3 linked regions of the Astyanax mexicanus genome follow. The protein of the gene in region 3 purifies or fractionates together with the protein of the main gene of each other region. This does not show direct contact. Links are inferred from orthologs where the notes say so. Each region holds a gene or a part of one and is shown on either strand. Other genes may lie near its edges.

What was found. Proteins that work in one complex are often made in the same cells at the same time.
Region 1: the proteins of adra1d (region 3) and sntb2 purify together in Homo sapiens (tandem affinity purification; 4 studies listed by BioGRID and IntAct, with this or other methods). This does not show direct contact. The link is inferred for Astyanax mexicanus from reciprocal best matches to the Homo sapiens genes ADRA1D and SNTB2.
Region 2: the proteins of adra1d (region 3) and dtna purify together in Homo sapiens (tandem affinity purification; 4 studies listed by BioGRID and IntAct, with this or other methods). This does not show direct contact. The link is inferred for Astyanax mexicanus from reciprocal best matches to the Homo sapiens genes ADRA1D and DTNA.

The regions. Positions count from the first base shown.
Region 1 is NC_064417.1:11,125,117-11,132,301, forward strand, and holds the start of sntb2 (beta-2-syntrophin), read left to right. Parts: upstream 1-4,183; 5' UTR 4,184-4,355; coding exon 4,356-5,022; intron 5,023-7,185. UniProt on the Homo sapiens protein: Adapter protein that binds to and probably organizes the subcellular localization of a variety of membrane proteins. May link various receptors to the actin cytoskeleton and the dystrophin glycoprotein complex.
Region 2 is NC_064413.1:498,103-505,778, forward strand, and holds the start of dtna (dystrobrevin alpha), read right to left. Parts: upstream 3,003-7,676; 5' UTR 2,827-3,002; coding exon 2,810-2,826; intron 1-2,809. UniProt on the Homo sapiens protein: May be involved in the formation and stability of synapses as well as being involved in the clustering of nicotinic acetylcholine receptors.
Region 3 is NC_064432.1:568,381-576,028, reverse strand, and holds the start of adra1d (alpha-1D adrenergic receptor), read left to right. Parts: upstream 1-4,626; 5' UTR 4,627-5,034; coding exon 5,035-6,019; intron 6,020-7,648. UniProt on the Homo sapiens protein: This alpha-adrenergic receptor mediates its effect through the influx of extracellular calcium.

The sequences.
Region 1 (7,185 bases), on a different chromosome or scaffold from region 3:
CAGTTCAATTGGCAGAGAGAGCTTCTGAACATCCTGCATCACCATCAACACCTCCCTACACCCCCTTCCCACAAGCCCAGACCCCCCGACTGCAAATCCCTTCACTCACAGTGTTTTAAATGCTGTAGATCTGCAATAAATAAAAATTGAAAACACATTCATTTGAAGAAATTCTGTTTTCAGCATCTCTGTCCAGTGTAGAGATATAAAGAACATATATCCCACATTCTCCACCCTCAGCTCCACTATCAGCCTCACAGCCTGTGTGAGTTATAAGTAAATACTCATTCATTTCTACTTCAACCTCTGTATATCTCTTACACTTAAACACACTGTACCTGTAATACTGATTTATGTAAACAAGTTTTTTTTTATTGGCTGGGCTGTTGTGGGTCTCATTCATAAACAGTATATATATATATATATATATAACTTGCTGAAGGGTGGTGCTAAAAAAGGTGTAGTCTCTATGGAGGTACTACAGACCTCAGAGACAACAGATAATTTGACTTTAAAAATCTTTAGATGACATGAGCCACAAAATGTTCCTGTACGATGGTTAAGTATGGTTAAGAGTCTGCACTGTGTTTTAGATGGTGAATTTTATCTGACAACAGAAATAAACAGTAGTTTAATTAATCACAATAGAAGTTTAAAAATCTGATTAACCGCAACAGTATTCTGACATTAATCACACTTTTTCATCCCTAAAAAAATTATGTATTATGATATCAGTCGGCTCTGTTAGGATGCATTGAATTAAGTTTGCTTGCTTTGGTTTAAATAAACGTAACAGGTGCGCTGGAGAGAAATACTCTCTCCTTATCCATCCTGATTGACTCTTTTCTAGTTTTGCGTTTTGCTAGTGTTTGCTAGAATCTGGAGACATTTCTGTGAACAAATCGACAAGAAACCACCGCATGGTCTCAGGAACTCAGGAAATCACTGTCTGTGAACACAGTTAACTGTCTGTGAACACAAATGTTAACATGATCCAGAAACAATGCCATCTTCTTTCAGCCAATGTATGGGGTTGCAAAATTGAAAATTCTCTATCAAAAACTCTACACGCAGCTGTTCAAAGAAGAGGTGATGCTACACAACAGTAGACATAGCTCTGTCCCAACCTTTTAAGAGGTGTTGCTGCCATCAAATTCTATTCTAAAGGAGCTAACTTTTTTATGAAATGGTAAAGCTTACTTTACATCTGATATTTATTTTATTGTATTATAAATAAAATATGGGTGTTATGAGATTGGAATTGCATTCTTTTTTATTTACATTTTACACAGTTTCCCAACTTTGTTTGGAATTTAAGTTTTATTAGAATTAATTTAAATAATAAACAAAATGTAACCCATTGTAAATAGGTTATGCAAATACTACAGGATACAGTTGGAGGAAAAGTATGTCAACCCTTTGGGATTACTTGGATTTCTGCACAAATGGGTCATTAAATGTGTTCTGATCTTCATCTAAGTCACAAGAATAGACAAACCCAGTCTGCTTGAACTAATACCACACAAAAATATATGTTTGCATGGTTTTATTGAACACAACATGTTAATATTCACAGTGAGGGAGGGAAAGTATGTGAACCTTTGGATTTAATAACTGGTTGACCCTCCTTTGGCAGCAAAAACCTTAACCAAATGATTCCTGTAGTTGCAGATCAGACCTGCAGAACAGTCAGGAAGAATCTCAATTGGGTTGAGATCAGGACTCTCCAGAAGGCGTTTTTTCTTCTGTTGAAGACATTCGGTTCTTGATTTATTTCTATGTTTTAGGTCGTTTGTCCTGTTATCCATCTTCTGTTGAGCTTCAGTTGGTGGACAGATGGTCTTAAGTTTTCCTGCAAAATGTCTTGGTAAACTTTGTAATTCATTTTTCCGTTGTTGACAGCAATCCTTCCAGACCCTGAGGCAGCAAAGCAGCCCCAAACCATGATGCCCCCTCCACCATATTTCACAGTTAGGATGAGGTTTTGATGAGGGTGTGCTGTGCCTTTTTTCCACACACAAACGTTGTGTGTTACTTCCAAACAACTTAATTTTGGTTCCATCTGGCCACAGTATATTTTGCCAGTACTGCTGTGGAACATCCAGGTGCTCTTTTGCAAACTTCAAACTTGCAGCAATGTTTTTTTGGACAGTAGTGACTTCCTCTGTGGTGTTCTCTGATGAACTCCATTCTTGTTTAATGTTTTTCCTTTTTGTAGATTTGTCAACAAAAATGTTAGCATGTGACAGTAATTTCTGTAAGTTTTTAGCTGACACTCTAGGATTCCTCCTCACCTCATTGATCATTCTGCACTGTACTCTTGCGGTCATCTTTACAGGACGACCACACCTAGGGAGCATAGCAACAGTGCTGAACTTTCTCCATTTGTAGACCGCCTGTCTTACTGTGAACACATGAACATCAAGGCTTTTAGAGATACTTTTGTAACCCTTTCCAGCTTCATACAAGTCAACAGTTCCTGAATGTACAGTAGGTCCTCTGAGAGATCTTTTGTGCGAGGCATGATTCAAAAGCAGTGCTTCTTAGGAACAACAAACTCAAAACTGGTGTGTGTTTTTATAGGGTAGGACAGCTTTAACCAACACATCCAATCTCATCACATCCTGGTTCCAATTAGCTCTTAGAAAAGTCATTAGCCTAGAGTTTTATATACTTTTTCCACCCTGCACTGTGAATGTTAACATGTTGTGTTCAATAAAACCATGGAAACATATATATTTTGTGTGGTTTTAGTTTAGGCAAAAATCAAAGAAATCCCAAAGGGTCTCACATTTCCACTGCTGACAGGAAGAGACTGAACAAGATCATCGCAAGGTCCAGCTCTGTCCTGGGGTGGTGTGAGATGGGAGCATGAGAACGGCGTTTAAACACATGCTGTAGAACCTATGCACCACTCACCACAGCATTGGGCAGTTTCTTCAGTGCCTGGCTGCTGCTATACCCACGGTATGTGAAGTAGAGATACCACAGGTCCGTCCCTCCTTGCTGCTGCAAGAATGTCCAACTGTAGTTTACTATTTCTTACAGTGTGAATTGAAACAGTTAACTTATTACTGATCTTATGGTTTAGAATGTGCAACATTTTAATTCACCATGTGTATAATTCGCCATATGTACAAACATCAGTTATTGATGTTTAATAAGGCTGTATTTAGGTTGCCATAGTAACTGTAGGAGGGTAGGGGTGGCTTGGCCTGGCTGGACTCCTGACTGGACTTTAAGGACAGGAGGGGTGAAATATGGAGGGAGAGTTGGAGGAGGAGGAGCAGGCTGTGTTTATAACTGTTATAATAACAGGGCTGTTATAAGAGTAGCACTCTGTTGGAATATCCCCCCCCCCCGCCCCCCTCCCTGCAGCAGCTTCCCTGCAGCAGCTTACTCAGGCATGATTGCCTTGTGGACTACAATCCTGAGAACTGACACCCTATTGGCTGTTCCAGCCTTATAATCCAGCCAAACCCCAGTTGGATGACTCAGAAAACTGATTGTTATAATGCTCTTATAGCACAATTAATGCAAAAACCACCCCCCCCCACCACCACCACCCACAAAAAACCCCCACAAACCTCAAATTACACTTTTTATTAATTAAGCTCCATCCTCACAGAGGAAAAAACATCTCTACACAAACCAGAACGGCCCTTTTTTAAATATGTAAACCTATGGCTAACCTGTTAAACATAATTTATATTGGATGATCACCCTTAACAGGTGGTTTATGCAAATGATTCCACTTCTAAGAAACATTTTCTTGCTGACTGTGCAGAACCCCAGTGCAGGACCTTAGCATGAGCACGTGTTTCAACAAAAATGTAATTATTACAGTGTGCTCTGACTGAGCGCTCTACAACAGAAGAGCATGCTATTTTTATCATTTAAAACAAGGGGCCCTCACACAAAAACATAAAGCTGAACTCAAAGCAAAAGCCCTGGAACTGAAGTGCATGTTTACTACGTGATGTAGAACACAATGTACAACAGGCGTGCATTTCTAGAACACAAGTCACGTTTAAGAAGCTGGATGAAGTGTTGTAGAAGATAAGTGCGCACTTGTTGAGGAGGAGAGAGGCCATTCTCTCCAGATACTTCTGATTTACAAACTCTTAGCCAATAGCACGAGGGGCGGGGCTAGTCTGAAAACGGGTAGGGAAAACACGCAAACTTGTAAACTGTGTGTGTGTGAGTTTGTGTGTGTGTGTGTGAGAGAGAGAGTGTGTGTGGGCGTGTACATGTGTGTGTGTGTGTGTGTAGAGTTGTACTCGGGAGCGGAAACTGAAAGTTCGGACGGTATGAGGGGTTCGGTATGAGGAGTTTGGACTGAGCGCGCGCGGGTGATGGCGATCTGGACTCGTGCGGATAAGAACGGTCAGCTGGACCTGCTGCTGCGCGAGCGCTGGGTCCGGGTCACGGCCGACCTGAACCGGGACACTCTGACCCTGACTGCGGAGGGGGAAGCGAGCGGTGTGGAGCTCAGAAACGGACTGTCTAACGGGGGTGATCCCATCAGCGAACAGAACCGACTCCGGAACCAGAACCCGGAGCTTCAGCCGAACCACGGGCACTTAAAGCCCAGTGGTGGCAGCGTGTACGGCTACAGCAGCCCCCGCAGACCGAGCCGCGACAACGGCACTAGCTCGGACTACGGCAGTCCCGGGTCAGGCTACGGAAGCCCAGGCTCCAGTTTCAGCTCCAGACATGGGGAGGGGGCAGGAGGCGGCAACAGCAGCGCAAACTTCGACACGAGCCCAGCGGAGACCGTGAGGAAGGTCCGGGTGGTGAAGCAAGAGTCCGGCGGACTGGGTATCAGCATTAAGGGTGGCCGGGAGAACCGCATGCCCATCCTCATCTCCAAAATCTTCCCCGGTCTGGCCGCGGACCAGAGCCGCGCGCTGCGCGTGGGAGACGCGATCCTGTCCGTTAACGGCAGCGACCTCCGCGAAGCCACGCACGACCAGGCGGTGCAGGCGCTGAAAAAGGCGGGGAAGGAGGTGACGCTGGAGGGTGAGTGCTCAACGCAAAGCCGGGGATTTACACGGCCTGCGGGCTGCGCTGCGATAACACCGCTCCCGCCTCAAATATAAACACACACAGCCGGGCACGCGGGTTCTGCTGTACTGGTTCTGCAGTATTGACTTAGCACACTATTGTTCTAAAACTAGAACGCATAGCTAGCACATTCTTGGTTTTGAACTAGAACTCTTGCGCATGCACACTCATGTTCTAAAACTAAACACTCAGCCAGCCTGGGTTTACTGTGTTCTGGAATGTGATCGAGCAAAGTTATATTCTAGAGCTAGGGCACTTTGACCATGCACGCTTGCGCTCTAACACCAGAATGGTGGCAGTAACCAGGCTGTATCTATATTCTAGAACTTTTTCAATCTCAAGTTGTACATCTAGAACTTTTAGATCCCAGGTGTCACACACAAGGCCTGTCAGCTATAGGATGAAAATGCAGGCAAAAAGGAAACAATAATACGCATCTGATTAATAGGGATTTAGCCACAGGTTAGCAGTATTACATATATTTGAGCCTTGTTATTAATTGCTTTAGTCAAGCTTTTTATGCTAGTGTAAATATTGTTAAAATATATTGGTCAAAATATCATGTTATATCACAGTATATCATAATATCATAGTATTTAGCACAATACTTTTAATGCAGATAATATATCAGTGAAGATGATTCTGAAATACTCCTCCATACAGTACAGTGATTTATATTTAACATTCTTCATTATATCCTGTTAAACTGCACTAATAACACTCTCTATACACAAGTGCACAGTTGGTCAGTGTTCATTAAGCACTGATGATATCCACAATATGTTTATAAAAGTATACTGTATCACATTAACACGTTTTCTCAATGAAATAAAATATTGTCATATTGCCCAGTCCTACTTTTTCATCTCTGCTTTGTCTCACAAATCAGTCAAGAGTTTATCTCTTTCCACTGTCTGAAACAATGCCATTATTGATATCTGACCTAACCAGTGAAATAAATGAACTGGTCCCTAGCAACCAGGAAAGTGTGAGTTGCGTTTAGGTGTATATGCTGGTATGTGGAAATATCTGTTGTAAGTTATGACCAACAACCTAAACGTAATGAAACAGGAACACCCATGAATTAATGGCTATGAACCCAACTAGATATTTTTAGACAAACATGAACATCCATTATGTAATAATGTTTGTTCAGTCAGGGTACTCTGGCCTTTATGCAGCTGTTCTGGGACTAACTGGTCACAGTCCAGTTCTGATACTGTACGATAGAAATACACAATAATACACATACCTCCACGTTTCTGTGGACACCCCTTATATTACAGCATCCATTCCTTTTAGGATGAGTTAAAGAGGTGAGGTGGGGTGGTGATCTTTCATCATCATGACCTTGCTAACACTCAATGAAAACAATGAAATCCTCACAGCAATTCTCCAAATTCTATTAGAAAGTCTTCCCTGGCCAGTAGTGACAATTACTCAAACAGAGTCAAGATCAGCTTTTTTTAATACCTTTAAATCAGAAGAAAGAGCAGGTGTCCTAATACAGTCAACCACATAGTATAGGTGCTGTCTGTATACCAGTAAAATAAAACAGAAAAAAGAGCAGTAAAATTAGTCAGGTCTGCAGGACAGTAAAGTCCCTCTGCTGCTGGAGTCGGGAGTAGTGTTACAAAACAGCCCATTCAAAATAAAGGTCCGATTGTGTTTCCAGTTTGATCAGCGTAGCAGGAGAGCAAGGCTGATATCACCATCACACGCTCTCAGATCTGTTCTTGTCCACAGGTCAGTCAGGCCTAAAACTGCTGATCAGACCACAAACTAAAGAATTACACTAATTTAACTTAGCTGAACGCTGAGCTGCAGATGGTGTCCACTGTGGATGCTTCACCAAAGATGAGATCTTTTGTTTTGTCCAATTAAAAAATGGGCAATAAAACAAGGGGCTCTATTTATGCTCCGTTCTACTTTCACTGCCTTCTTCTGAAGCTAGAACCGAGTGACCTCCAGCAGGGCCAAACACAGAGTGGCTGACACAACAGAACTGTGCATCCCAAAACCCAAACTGGAAGTGAAACTGATGTCACATGACCTGCATGGCCTCTTTCAGTTTAGTGTTAGTTGGAGGCAGTTTTCTACTCCAGCTGTTTGTGTGCT
Region 2 (7,676 bases), on a different chromosome or scaffold from region 3:
TGTTGGATGCAGCTCAGTTTTAAAGGGTTCTTTTTAAGAAATATAAGAAAGAGCTGGAAAAGGGGACAAGAGAGACAGAGAGAGAGACAGACAGAGAGTAAGAGAGAGACAGAAAATCCAAGAGAGAGACAGAAAGAGAGAGAGAAAGAAAGAGAGAAAGGGGGGGCAAGAGACAAAGCGACTAAGAAAAACAGAGAGAGAGAGAGAGAGAGAGAGAAAAGACATAGAGAGACAGAGAGAGAGAGAGAGACAGAAGAGAGAGACAGAGAGTAAGAGAGAGACAGAACATCCTAAAGAGAGAGAGAGAGAGAGAGAGAGAGAGAGAGAGAGGGAGAGAGTCGACAGGTTGAAGTACAATAAAGTGTAGATGAATCTTTCGAAGTAGATTTAGACTATAGAGCTCTTCAAAATGTTTACCCCGCTGTCAAACCCCACAAACCAAATGCTTAGTGTTTATTTTTATTTCAACAGGATCCAGAAAGATGTTTCCTCTTATGGTGACAGTATGAGAATGAGTTAAATAAATACACTGTGTGGGAATTATTATCACTTTTTTAAAGGTCACCTTCCGTCGTTTTTTCTTTCATTTTAAAATGTCTAGTTGTGGTCTCTAGTATGAATGAATGACATGTGAGCCGTTTTTGTAAAAAAAAAGTGCTCAGGTGTCTCTGTATAGCTCTTTTTTAATGGACTGTTTTAGGGGTGTGTCCAAAATGACCGGATTCCAGCTTTGCTCATGAATATTCATACATGCAAACAGCATGCAAATATCTCTCCTCTGATTGGCTAGGAGCACTGCGACGCCCCTCCACCGCTCTGCCGCTCACTGCCTCCCACCTCCTAACTGATGAGCGGTGATGTTGCGTCGCTTCAGCTCCGCCTCTGGGAGTTTCTCGAGCCAAGGTGGGCTGGTCTGTGAGTTTCTGCCTACGTAGGCAGAAAGATAATTCAAAATTCACCCGTTTTTCGGAGGGGGGGAGGGGGGATTTCTTTGCTTAGCTCCTGCAGACAATGGGGGCTGCAAAACAGTTTAATGTGCAGGTGTACACATTCAACTCGGAGAGACCTACTGTATTCCACAAAAAACAAGAAAAATCGGATTTTCGCGGAAGGTGACCTTTAATGTTTGGTTACAATTTAGAAAAAAGTATCAAAATAGGTATTGTTTTGGTATCGGTATTGAAAATTTTAAAACAATACCCAGCCTTATTAGTGAGTAGATTGTGTGAAACGTGTCAGACACGTATGAAAAGATGCTGCTAATCATTTATAAGAGATGTAGATCCTACAGATACAGACAGTAAAAAACAGTAATGTGATTTTAAAAAGGTTGCATTCCTCTCTGATAACAACTCCAGCAGAACCCGCTCCAAACGATCCGAGCGTCGCCTGCCAACACATGGATTAAACTATTAAACTATCCGAGAGAAACAGGGCTATGAGATCCGGCAATCTCACGGATTCTACTCATCCGAGCCCATTCTGCTCATCAGCGCTGAGTCTGAAATGCATGATTAGGTTCAGAGAATGCGCTGCCCCCAATCCACCAACACACCAACACCAGCCAGCCAGCCAGCCAGCGCCACTCTCACTAACAGCATGTTTACCCCCCAAAAAACAGAAGAATAATAGCATTTCTCTCATTTTATAACACCAAATATCATGCAATCCGCTACATTTCTATTTGATGTGTTGTGTAATCATTTTGACAATTAATCAAGCAACCACATTTTAAAAGACACCAGAAAAAAAACGAATACTAAACCCTATAAGTTAAGAAATGATGAAGAAATCTTGACCAGGGTTTTATTTTCCAGGTATCTTACAATAAGACAAAGTGGGACTAATAAATAAATACATACAAATTATAATCATTATAATCAAGCAAATGGCTAGTCAATCCATGCAAAATAAAGCAGGAAAGCAAACTGTAAAGTATGTTCTGTAAGAACTGAAATCTGAAATTAAATTTCGGTATACGGTATAAGTTTGAATGAGTTTTGTTTAATGTTTTAATGTAAAAGATAAAAATATTTTACTATGTAGTGATCATATGGCAAGCATAACACCTTATGCTCTGTTACTTATTACATATAACCTATAACATCCTAAGGGTTAGTCTTCAAGCAATAGATAGACCTAACCATTGATATGAGGTAAATAAATTTATTATAAATTAAGTATAAGGGAAAGCATGTATAAGCAGATATGCCAATACTAAATATAAACCGACGCAAGTAATGTATTTAACTTAAGTGTAAGTAGTGCACAGGACTGTGAATGTACAAGATGTACAGTAAAATGTCAATAGAGTCACAGAGTGCAGATGTACATGTTGTACAGAGTGTAATTATAGTACAAATAAAGATTTAAAAACAGGCTGTGATTTAAAAAATCACACGTGGTACATGAGGTGAAACGAAACTGTAATCTCACGGCCCAGTTCTGTCCAAAAGAGCAATTATTATGTAGGATAAAACAAAATAAAACAATATAAATTGGAATGAAATAGAAAACAAGATAAATACACATAATATAAAAGAAGAGTATGGAAGCATAGGGAAGTAGAAGCAATATAAAACTAGATTACAGGTGCATAATACATTTTTTTTCCAGTAACTACATGCAAATCAATGCAAACACCAGGAATAACAGGTGGTTCTGCAGAACTTAAGAGGTTAAACTCAATATAACAGATTTGTCCTTCAGAGACTTTACAGGACACTTACAAACCAAACACAACTGACCCAGACTCTCAGACTCAGAGAGTAAAACACAGTAGGTATATTTAAAATATGAGAATACATACCCTTCAGACAGTACCATGATCCACCTGCAGACCACAGGACGTACCTCGTCCTGCTGTTAAAGTCCTGCAGGCTGTAATGAAGCTCCTGCTCTGGACGCCCCTCTGCCTCTCAATAGGCCGACCACTAAACCACCACCCCACCACCCCACCCCACTCCACCACAAACAACAAAAGCAGAGCAGCGAGGCGAGAGCAGCTCCTGAAATTAGAAACTGTCCGGCTCCAGCCTGCACTGCTCTATCTTTAACCTCTACTGATCAGACTCACATTCTTCCTCCCCGGCTCAGCCGGATCCCCCAGCTCCAGACTCGGTTACCATGCCTCTGCCCTGCCTCTAAACGCCCCACTGCCACCTCTCTCTTTATTCCAGAGTAATATATGGAGTTAATGAAATAAAGAGGCTACGCTGCAGTAGCTGGGGAAGCATCGCTGTAATTTATGTCCTGTAATGTGTAGTTTCTAAAGCATGGTAATTAACCATTTCCTCAAACCCATTTCACAAAGTCTTTCAGGAGATTTCCTCACTCTCACATCTACTTTCTCTCTAAGGCTAGCTTATGGAAGCCCATTCCCACCACCTTAAAATAATTTAAATAATCCAGCACATTTTAATTATTATTATTATTATTATTATTATTATTATTATTATTATTATTATTATTATTATTATTATTATTATTAAGCAAACTGCTCTCTCAATATTGTGACATACTAAGTGACTATTTTGACATACTAAGTCATTATTTTGAGACGCTATCTCATTATTTTAAGATACTAGTAGACTGTACAGAGACAGAAGCAAAGATACTATACTATCATTGACTACTTCAGACATGGATTCACATCATGAAATATAGGTGCTTTTAAAGGAATCAAAACTTTTTTGACTCAAAATACTAAGATAGTATCTCAAAATAATGACTTAGTGTCTCAGAATATTGAGATAGTATCTCAAAATAATGATCCAGCATCTCAGAATATAGAGACAGTATCTCAGAATATTGAGATAGTATCTCAAAATAATGATCCAGCATCTCAGAATATTGAGATAGTATCTCAAAATAGTGACATGCTATCTCAATATAATGACCTAGGCTAGTATCTACCAACAATGAAATAGTATCTCAAAATAATGGCCTAGTATCTTAAAATATTGAGACAGCATCTAAAAAAATGACTTAATATCTCAAAATAATGAGACAGTATCTTGAAATAATGACTTTTATATCAGCCATTTCTCATTTCTCATTTTCTGTAAATAAATGCTCTAAATGAGAATATTTTTATTTGTAATTTGGGAGAAATGTTGTCTGTAGTTTATAGAATAAAACAACAATGTTCATTTTACTCAAACATAAACCTATAAATAGCAAAATCAGAGAAACTCTGGTCTCTTATTTTTTTCCAGAGCTGTATATACATATTATACATTTTAGAATTTCACTCTGGAATTAATAAATATATTTATTAATATTGATATATAAATAATTTGCTGTTTCCCTTTTTTCCCATTAAATCAGTGTTGTTAGTTAGTTATATAAATAAATATATTATTATTATATTGCTAGTCTCACTCAGCTGTTATAAACTGTATTTATTATATTTATTAGGAAACAGACAGTGTAACTCTGATCAGCAGCAGCAGCAGGGTTAGACCTGCCCCCGGTACTCACCAGCCCTCCGCCGCATCACCGCCCAAACCGCGAGAATAAACCCCGGCGGCCGGTGTTACCGGTACTGCGCGCTGCCCGGGGTCCGCAGGACCGGGACCGGTACATAATCCCCGCTGTATTAAACTACCGCGCCGTAAATTCCAGCATTACAGCACATATATGAGCCCTAACTGCAGCACTGAACTCACAGCAGCGCCGGTGTACTGTCCGATTCTGCTACCATGCCAAACCCTGCTACCCCCCTACTGTAGCTATATACTTAAAGCTAAAAATACCAAAAATTACCCAGGGTATAAATCTCGGAATGATATCATTAATATATATTTGAATAGCGTGAATCGCTGTAAAAATGGAAAAGTAAATTAAATATAGGTGATTAAAACCTGCTTTTATATATTTATTTTATTATATTTTATTATATAATTTTTCATTTTTTTAAATAATATTTGTATTATATTTGATATATGATATTGAATAGCATAAATCGCGGTATCTATTATTACAAATATAATAAAAAAAGATTTTTGTGTTTAAAAAAACTAAAATAAAATATAATGAAAAAGTACTATAAAAGCGGGTTCTAATCACCTATATTGGCCTAACGTTACGCTGATATACTTTTAAGTAGTATTTGTATCATAATGTATTATAATTTCTTTTATAATAAGTCTCTGTATGATATTTAAATAGCGTAAATTGGTGTAGAAAATGTAAGTTAAAGAAATATAGGTGATTATATATAGGTGAAACCATTTTAATGTTTTTTTTTCATTATATTTTATTATAAGATTTCGTGCAAAAAATGATACACAATTTTTTTTTATAATATTTGTAATATTTGTAATAATCGTTGATATTTGAAGTCTTAATCGCTGCATCAGGGTAAAGTTAAGGCAATATACCTATGTAAAGCAATATACTGCTGAATCAGTGCAAAGTTAATGCAATATAGGTGATTTAAAAACCTTTTAATTTTTAAAATTATATATATATATTTTTTTCTTACACAACGTCTTGGTATAATATTTTAATAATTTATTATAATAGTTTAATATTAGCCTCAATCGCTGTAAAAATATGAATTATTATATATTTTTCGTTATATTTTATTATATATATTTTTTGTGTCATTCAAGCAAACAATGACAGTGAGCACAGTTTGTATCATGTACCCGAGGGGAAAAAAGCTATAATTGTAAGGAAAATCGCATGAAAAAAAATAAATGAAGAAATAATTCACGCATGCGCAGAGCCGCTCGATAGCACATATCGTTGGGTAGCACAATTTGGCAGAACACCTCCGCTTCACTACAGCACGCGCTGCTTCAATGACGTAATGCGGAATTTCTCCACGGGGCTGTGCTCTCCCTGCTCCCATTGGCTTTGTTTTTATATAGAAAAGAAATATTTATTAATATAGTGTAATTATAACAAATACGACATATATATATATATATATATATATATATATATATACATATATATATATATATATATATATATATATATATATATATATGTATATATATATATATATATATATATATATATATATATATATATATATATATATATATATATATATTTGGCCTTAAATCCTATTTAAAATTCAGATATTATTTTTAATTACTAGAAATATCTCCAGAACGGTTGCTGCTTTCGTCTGTGTGTTTTTGTTAGTTTTTTGGGGGTATTTAAAGCTGTCCTGTGCTGTTTTGAGCAGTTTTTTCTAGAGTAAACGAGTTAATTTGGTCTATAAAGAACTTTAAGTAGAAATAGCTATAAACTAGAGGTGTAAAAAAACGGGAAAAAAACCCGTCCCAGGGTTTTGTACCAACTGCCTGCTCCGCGGACCAGGCAGTTGGTGCGAAACCCTGCGATGGATTTTAATTTTCTGGATCTGGATTACACAGCTCTACTATAAACTAAAAATCCATGCTGGTGCTTCACTGCTGCCCTCCTGCGCTGTTTCCGTGTGTTTGCGCGCTTGTTGCTTAGCAACCGTCAGTGATACACAAAGCTGAAGATAAACAGCATCACCTGTCTGCGTCTGAACAGGTAAGCTAGTGAATTAAGTTACGTGTTTTGGCTCTGAAGTTATTTTTACTTTGATAAAACTTGATATAAAGTTTGTTTAGTTTTAGTTTTAGATGTTAGCTTGACACTTTTCCACTCAAAAATGGATCATTTTCCTCAATAATAAATGTCCAAGTCTAATATTTGTTATATTTGTTTGTGTAAGAAAGCATTTTTTCTACATATTCACTCAAAATAAACGTATTATTACAAGAAAAGAGAATTTTATACAGATTTTACTTTAATTTTCTTTAATGTAAGGGGTGGGTTTTGTCATGCCCACAGTGCTGCCTGCTTAAAATTTTAATGATTCTTATAACCTAAGTGGTTAAGGGCCGTTCCACCAAATCTGTGCCATTTCTGTCCCCAGAAAATTACATGTATAAATGTAATGTAATGTAAACAAAATAAGATTATATAATTATTACAATCCTTCAGAGGTCTTTTTTTTTTTTTTAGCTATTTTTCATGTTTTTGCTAATTTCATGCTAAAAAGTCATTCCTGTTACTTTCAGCTCTGTGCTTTATTATTATTATTATTATTTATTAATTATTATTATTATTCAGCCAATTATTTACTATTTATTTACAGATTTTGATGCGTGCTGTGCGATGCCTGACACTGAACTATTAAAACATCCTTTAGTGGAAGATGGAGGCAGTTTACGAGGTGAGATCTGTGCTGAGAACAGTTTAACAAAATGATAAAAGTCTTATAAGTCTTATAAGGCATGTTTCATTAATTCTGCTGCTGCAGATCAATAAATGGCATCATAGCATCCAGTCCATTAGTGGGTCATTTATGTACAACGTATTAACAGTTATTAAGACTATCTATTGCATTTTTATTGCATTTTTATTCTATTTTTGACGTTTATTATACAATTCATCAAGAAAAGGCAAGACCAAAGTGAAGCTTTTATTTGTCTTTTTATTTTACAATTATCTTTTTCATTTTAGTTTTAACTGTGAAATACCTACATGGTAATTAAAATGAAATAGTAAAAAAATAATAAATAAATAAAATTTTATTTTTGTCACATATGACCTATGCTCAAGTAAAAAATTTAATTGCAAATAAAGTGATTTCCTTTTGTTTTTAATTTATTTTTTGTAAA
Region 3 (7,648 bases):
AATATATACATGAACACAGTAGTGTGCTATGGATATTATTTACAAGTAGGTGCATGTTATCTACAGCAGTGGAATATGAAAAAGTGCAAAAAGTTCAGTAGTGCAGTTATAAAATTGCAGTAAAGTGAGCATGTGCCTCTGAGAAATGTCCTTAACATGTAAACTTGTAGAGAGTAAAGTGAAATTAACACCAGGTTACACATTAAAATGCATTCTATTGAGACACTGCTGTGTACTTTATTTATTTAGTCTTTTCTCACTTAAACACTTGCAGAAAATCTTAATCTTAATCTTAAAGTCTTAATTCATCCATTCTTGCAGGAGGAAACACTACTTTTGGCCAAAAGATTGCATAATGGATTAAGAACAAAAAAAATCCTTGGAGGTGTAAACCACTACAGCCCTGATCAGACAGAATCCCAAGAATGGATGGAATCGGTCCCAGCATTACTGAGCAGGACTACAGAAAAGCCTCTCTGAGGAACGTCCAGCTGATCTTCATCTGACTTGCTAATGCAGTCGTGAGGATGCCAATTATGGGACTGCTTCTGTGAGGGCTGAAGCATGTTGCTCAAGGCTACAGTGACAACTGCAGTCTGTCTTCTAGTCATTTAAAAGTAAGACTGTTCAGGCATTCACCGGCCTCGCAAGATTTAGTGTCAACTTCCAAACTGAGTGTAAACAGAAATCCCCAAAAACTTACTCTGTATTAAAGGCCAGAGCTAATTTAAACAGGAATAAAGCTTTAGGGAATGTTTTACTAGTAGACTCTAATCACCTTTACCTGTAACGTTGGGAACAGAAGGGAGGCGGATTTAAATGCGGGTAAGACCAATACTTTAATAAATAACAAATAAACAAATAAACAAATAAACAAACAGGGGAATAACGAATATATCTATATACATAAACAAACAGGGAAAACCCACACAGAGCTAAGCTAAACAGATAATAACAAAACAGGGCTAGGGAACATATACAGGGGATAAATAAGTGAAAAATATACAAAATAAACAAAGAAACAGACAGGAACTAAACGTGAAAACAACAAACTAGAAATAAACAAGAACGTATAAATGCAAATGACCAAGAAACGAGGAATAACTATAACGTGGCGAGACAGACAACAAGGGAAGGTGCAAAGACCGACGGATAAACATGGACTAAAGTGAGCTATAAACAGTAACATGAAACACTGAACACCTAGGGAAGGGGCGGAGCTACAAATTACACACACGTGACGGAAAAGTACTGGAGAAACACAGTAGGAAACGGGGAAAACACAGGAAAACATAGCGAGGGCGTAACATTACCTTTAGTGATAGATATAGGGAGACTCAGCCCACATAAGTGATGACAATGACAGAAACCATAACTAACTATAATAAATGCAGCCTAAAAACAATGCAACTAAAACAGGAACAGGAACCATGGTCCAAACACTTACCCTGCTGCTTTCAGAAGCTGACTTTGCGTTTTCTCCCACTTTCCATCCTGCAGCCACCAGGTAAGTCACGTCCAGGTGGTTGGCTCTGGCACTGTCGTCTATGTGTGGCAGGATCTGCAAGGATTCAGATGTTAGAAGACCAGGGCCAATGCAGGAGTCTATACAAAAGGCTTCACTTACAAATATTTAGATCACATCGCTACATTTTCTGTCAAAATTAAACGTTTTTCTACAACTACAGTGGCAAAAGGTTAGTAAATCCTTTAGAATTTTCTATTGTTTAATTGTTTTGCAAAATATGACATAAAAAATATCAAAGTCCTAAAGGTAGATAAAGAGGACACACTTAAACAAATGGAACAAAAGAAAAATTAACCAATATTACATTTTTTTGAGTGGTTCCTGTCTTTCAAGCATCACTGTATGCATGCCTCTATCCTACAGATACAACAATGCAACAAAAAGTGCATTTCAATCTATTTCATGCAGTTTTACTGTTTTGAACAGGCCACTCTCTTGATCTATTTTGCCCAGGAACATAATTTATCTTATTTTAACATATCATGCTCAAACCACAAATGTGTTTTCTCGTAGATGCTAAATTAAGAAAATTGCTAGATGTTGTGTTAATACTAATTTTGCGTTCCTTTTTATTTTTGTACATACGGTATGATAGTGTGATGTTCTTTTTCTCTTGACATGCAGTATTCAAGCTCTTCAATCTCAACTACTGTAAGTATTCAATCCCAATTTAAGCTTCTTTAATATATTTACATTGTACTAAAATGCATTTATTTGAAATGGGCATATATACATATGCAGCTGAAACAGGGAGCCTAATGCATTGCATTTTTTCAACATTAACATTTTATTATAACATTATAGTCATTATGGCTTTTAGAAAAATGTGTTGTAGGGCGCGGGGGGGGGGGGGGGGGGGTAGTGCAGGCCTAATATTACTTGTAATGTAAATGATACAGACATTTTAAACCCTAGTGTCTATACTTCTACCTGAGTAATGCATCTGAATATTTTTTAATATTGGCTTTAAAATGGCTTTAAAATAACAGTGTTGTGTGTACTGGCAATACACCATATAAGTCATTACCACCTAAAGTGGACAGTGCAGTGGGTGGTGATGATTGTGACCGGCATTGTCTGGCTAGAATTGCCCATGCAAATAATCACATCACATCCACATTCAATGCAACATTTTCTGTTTGTATTCTGTGAGACATGGCAAAAGTCATTAAACACAATACTGGTTCCATATTCCATTTTTTTTTTTTTTTTGCCATTTTGCCATAATATGACACTTGTAGGCACTTTAAACAAGTTTGACAACATTAGCTTTTCCAACTTTGGAAAATGTCTATAAAATAACTTCCTGTTAGCATAAAATGAGTTAGTACATTAATATTTAGTTGTACTAACCTGCCAAACCAAATTGAGATTAGCATACAGTATATATCTCATAGTATTAGCGTGTCGTACACAGTTGGGACGCAGCCTTTGTTTTGTTATGTATGTAATAAATTCCCCCGGTACTCTTATGTCTTCTTTTTCACACTGGTCAGTGTTGTTTTCCCAGAGCTGTTCTGTACACAGTTCTAACCCCTCATCAAGGGCCCCTGGTGGCTTATAAAGACCCATCGCTTTAGCTGTGCAACTATTTGCACTGGGCCCAGGGGCGGCAGCTGCACTGCGTCAGTGGAAACAGCTCTAATTCAGTCTCTATTATTCAGAACAGGAATATTTTTTCCTCCTTTTTAACCCCATAGGGCTTCAGCCAACTTGTGGCCCCATGCAGAAATATAAATATAAATATATGAGCATAGATTTCTTTATGGGTAAAATACATTTTAAATACCTTTTATATATATTCTTATATAATGTAACATTTTAAAGATAAATATTCATGAGCATCTTCATGCATTTTTATATGTATTTATATATATATATATATATATATATATATATATATATAGTATATTGTAATAGTTTTTTTATAAATAAATTTAAATTAAAAACTAGTAGTAAAAAGTACAATATATAAACAAAATAAAAATAGAGTATATATATATATATACACTTATATATACACATTAATGCACTGTTTAAATGTACAATGTATAAAAATATACACTATGAACATATAGATGTTCAAATTACTATTTACATAAGCATGTAAGTGTCTATAATTATGTATAGTTTGTATGTTATTACTCTGTACATTTAAACAGTGCAAAAATGTATGAATAGTGTACATTAAGAGTGTATATGTAGACACTTATATTAAGGAAAAAAATGTTGGGCTATTTTCATACATTTACAAATGTCTTTATTTATGTATGTTATAAAAATATACATTAGATTTCTTTTTCATATAGGCAGCTCTTTTCCTTTGAAGTGGTCTCATGTTCAGTCTCATTCAAATCGTGTTGGTTCATTTAATTACAGTAAATCATCTAAACAATCAATCAGTTAATCAATCAACCTTTATTTTTACTTTGAGGTACACTCAGAGTGACTTTCATTTTTAACGTAGCTGAGCATTTACAAAACACAGTGACTGGAAAATAAAAATAAAACCAATAATATTATTTCATCTAATTATTCTAATATTTAAACTAATACAAAAAGACCAAATTAAGATTGAATCCATATGAGATGATAAAAGATCAAATAAAACCAAAAATATCATTTTAAAACAAGTAAAATGAGTCAAAACAAATAATGAAACCAAGACTAACTATTGAGTAAAGAACTACAAAAAGATTAACAGTACAAATGAAAGTAATAAACAGAAAATAAGATAATACACATTTACAGTGGATTTAGAACGAATAATTTCAAATAATTAATACAAATTAAAATAAAAAAATATTTACATATTTTGTATATATTTTTGCTTTAAAATAAAAACAAAACAAAATAGAAATAAAATGATTATTTTTCTCACCTCCTGCAGTATAACCCACCCCCCTCTGCTGGTCCCGCTGAGAACTGCACCGAATGAATTGAGATTTGTTCCACACCCGTTTTCCGAAAACCCCGCCCCCTTCGCCGTGATTGGCTAATAGTTCAAACAAGCGCTCTGGTGCAAACATTCTCTAATGTTTACTTGCACCCAATCACAGCTCAGGGAGCAGAACTCTCCAAGCAATCACAGTTGCGATAGGCGGGGCTTGCCTGAAAACGGGCGGGGAAACAGAGCGCGGTGCGCGCGCTTAATCCAGTTTGGAGCGCTCGGCTGAAGATGCCACTTGTGGAGATGTGACGGTGCGCTGACTCTGCAGCGCTGCGGACTGTCTCAACTGCTTCCCCGGATCCCTCTTCCTCTGGGAGGGCTGGAAACAAAGTCCTGGAGGATTCTGGAGGTGCAAAAAGAGAAGATCTGGTCCAAGGATGTGATGGTTCAGAAGTGGATGGATGCAGTTGGATGAGAAAGCAGACCCAATGAGAGCCAGGAGGAACTCAGCTTGGGACGGGGAGCCCAGACGGGCTTGGACATGATGATCCTGCCCGTCCACTGCAGGGAGTCAGAGCAGTAGAACTTTTCTCCTTTCCTTTATGGAGTGTCAAAAATGACCTTTTTCAAGTTGGTGAACGAGAGCAAAGATGCCATTGAAGCCCTCAATGAGACTTTGGACGTGGAGCCTTTATTGGTCAACAGTACCATTACAAAAAGGAGCACCAGCAGTAGAGGCGCCAACCTGACCTGCACTGGCATCCTCTTGGAGCCCCAAGTGGTGGCAGTGGGGGTCTTTTTGGCCATCTTCATCACGGTGGCGATTGTCGGCAACATTCTGGTAATTTTGTCAGTACTCTGCAACAGGCATTTGCGAACCGTCACCAACTTCTTCATTGTGAACTTGGCGATTGCTGACCTCCTGCTGGGAGTCGTGGTCCTGCCCTTCAGCGCCTCCCTGGAGGTTCTGGGATGCTGGGTGTTCGGCCGGGTGTTCTGCAACATCTGGGCAGCGGTGGACGTCCTGTGCTGCACAGCCTCCATCCTCAGCCTGTGCATCATCTCTGTGGACAGGTATGTTGGGGTCAAGTACTGCTTGAGGTACCCCACCATCATGACAGAAAGGAAGGCAGGTGTCATCCTGGTGGTCATCTGGGTGGCATCTGCCGTTATCTCCATAGGACCTCTCCTAGGGTGGAAGGAGCCACCACCAGCTGACGAAAGTGTCTGCAGCATCACCGAGGAACCAGGCTATGCCCTGTTCTCCTCGCTCTTCTCCTTCTACCTGCCACTTTCTGTCATCCTGGTGATGTACTTCCGGGTGTACGTGGTGGCCCGGAGGACCAGCCGGAGTCTGGAAGCCGGCGTCAAACGGGAAAGGGGAACCTCCACGGATGTGGTGCTGCGCATCCACTGCAGGAGCCTTCCCGAGGAGGCTCTGGAGCACAGTCGCAGCCGGGGCAGGGGTCAGCCCTTCCGCAGCTCACTGTCCGTGCGACTTATGAAGTTCTCCAGAGAAAAGAAGGCAGCCAAAACTCTGGCCATCGTGGTCGGGATGTTTGTGCTGTGCTGGCTACCCTTCTTCTTTGTGCTGCCGTTGGGTATGTAATGGGCTTCTTCTATTCTATTTTGCTTTTGCTGGGGGTTCATATTGAAGTCTTGGAAGTTTGTTTTAGAAGGTATAATAAATCAAATGTATTCTACACTGTTTTCTAGTAATTCAATATATAAATATATATATATTTTGCGATAGAATATGTTTAACTAATGGTAATATGATTTTACAACATGTTTTCAATATTTATTTCAATATAGATGATTTCCAGCCTCTGTACAGAACTGATTGTGGTTTGTTACAAGAGTGCATGCGTTTGCAGGTACAGATATCTGTTTTGAGCAGTTTATCTGTGGCTTTTATATTGTTCATATCAATCAAATCATTATTCATATCAAAATTATATTGTATCGATACAAATGTGCTAAATATAAGATCTCTTCTTAGGGATGCTTATATAAAACAAATATATGTAATTCTACAATGCACATTTTAGCTTCAGTAAATCATCAAATGTATTAGCTGTTTAACTACACTTGGGACAATTAATACATTTAAAAAGGGAAACTGTCACTTTAATGTATCTAAGGTAATTTAAAGCAGGATTAATTTGTAGATATGTACATGTTTTCTTTCAGAGGTAGTTTAAAGGGTTCTTTAAGTGAAGCAAAAGAGGAGACATTTTTTGTCTCTAGATAAAAAAACATTTTTGGAAAAAGATAGGACAAAAACGTGTACACTGGTTCTTCAAACATGCACATTGAACAAAAAATGTTTTTCCATGGCACCAATACAAATACAAGGACGCCCTGTATCATGTTCAATTTAGTGTAAAATGATTGCATACTTACAGTTTTTTTATATAGAGATATAGGTATATCCTAGGGCTGAACACTTTTTTGTTCAATATATATGCAATATATATTGAGATATAAAAAAAAAACCAAATGACCCAGCATGTCAGGATATTAATCATGCATTTAATTTCAATAATATTAAAATATATAAATATATAAATATATATATATATATATATATATATATATATATATATATATATATATATATATATATATATATATATATATATATTAGACAATAAAAGTCTACCTCTAGCCAAGATGTCATGGAACATTAGGACTGTGTTTATTTTTCTTGTGAATCAAACAGCTAAAAAGTTACATTCCCCTTACATAACACTGCACATGATCACACTGCAGTGATGGTGCTGAAACTATATATAAATTATATAGTATATATGCAGTAATACATTGTACTGTAAAGTAGTGTCCGTACATATTTGATCTAGGGGTTGAGGTTTTCCTGGAGGAGTCAGGATAAAGATTTGAGTCTCAGTGAATTTTTAATTTGTAGTAATTTGTGGCTGTCCATATTAAAATGTAATATATGCTCATGTATATGCACAAATAGCAAGGATTGGGTATATATTTTACAATATTGTATATGCACACACATATATAAAAATACATACATATATATATTAATAAATATGATAGTTTGTTTTTTAAGGTACTGGAAAATAAATTGTAATATATTGCTTTCTTTTTAGTACCACAATATATCGCCCTACTCTTAACATTGCAATATATCGCCGCCTTTATCTCAATATGACAGTATATTGCCTTATTCTCAAGATCACAATATATTGCCTTAC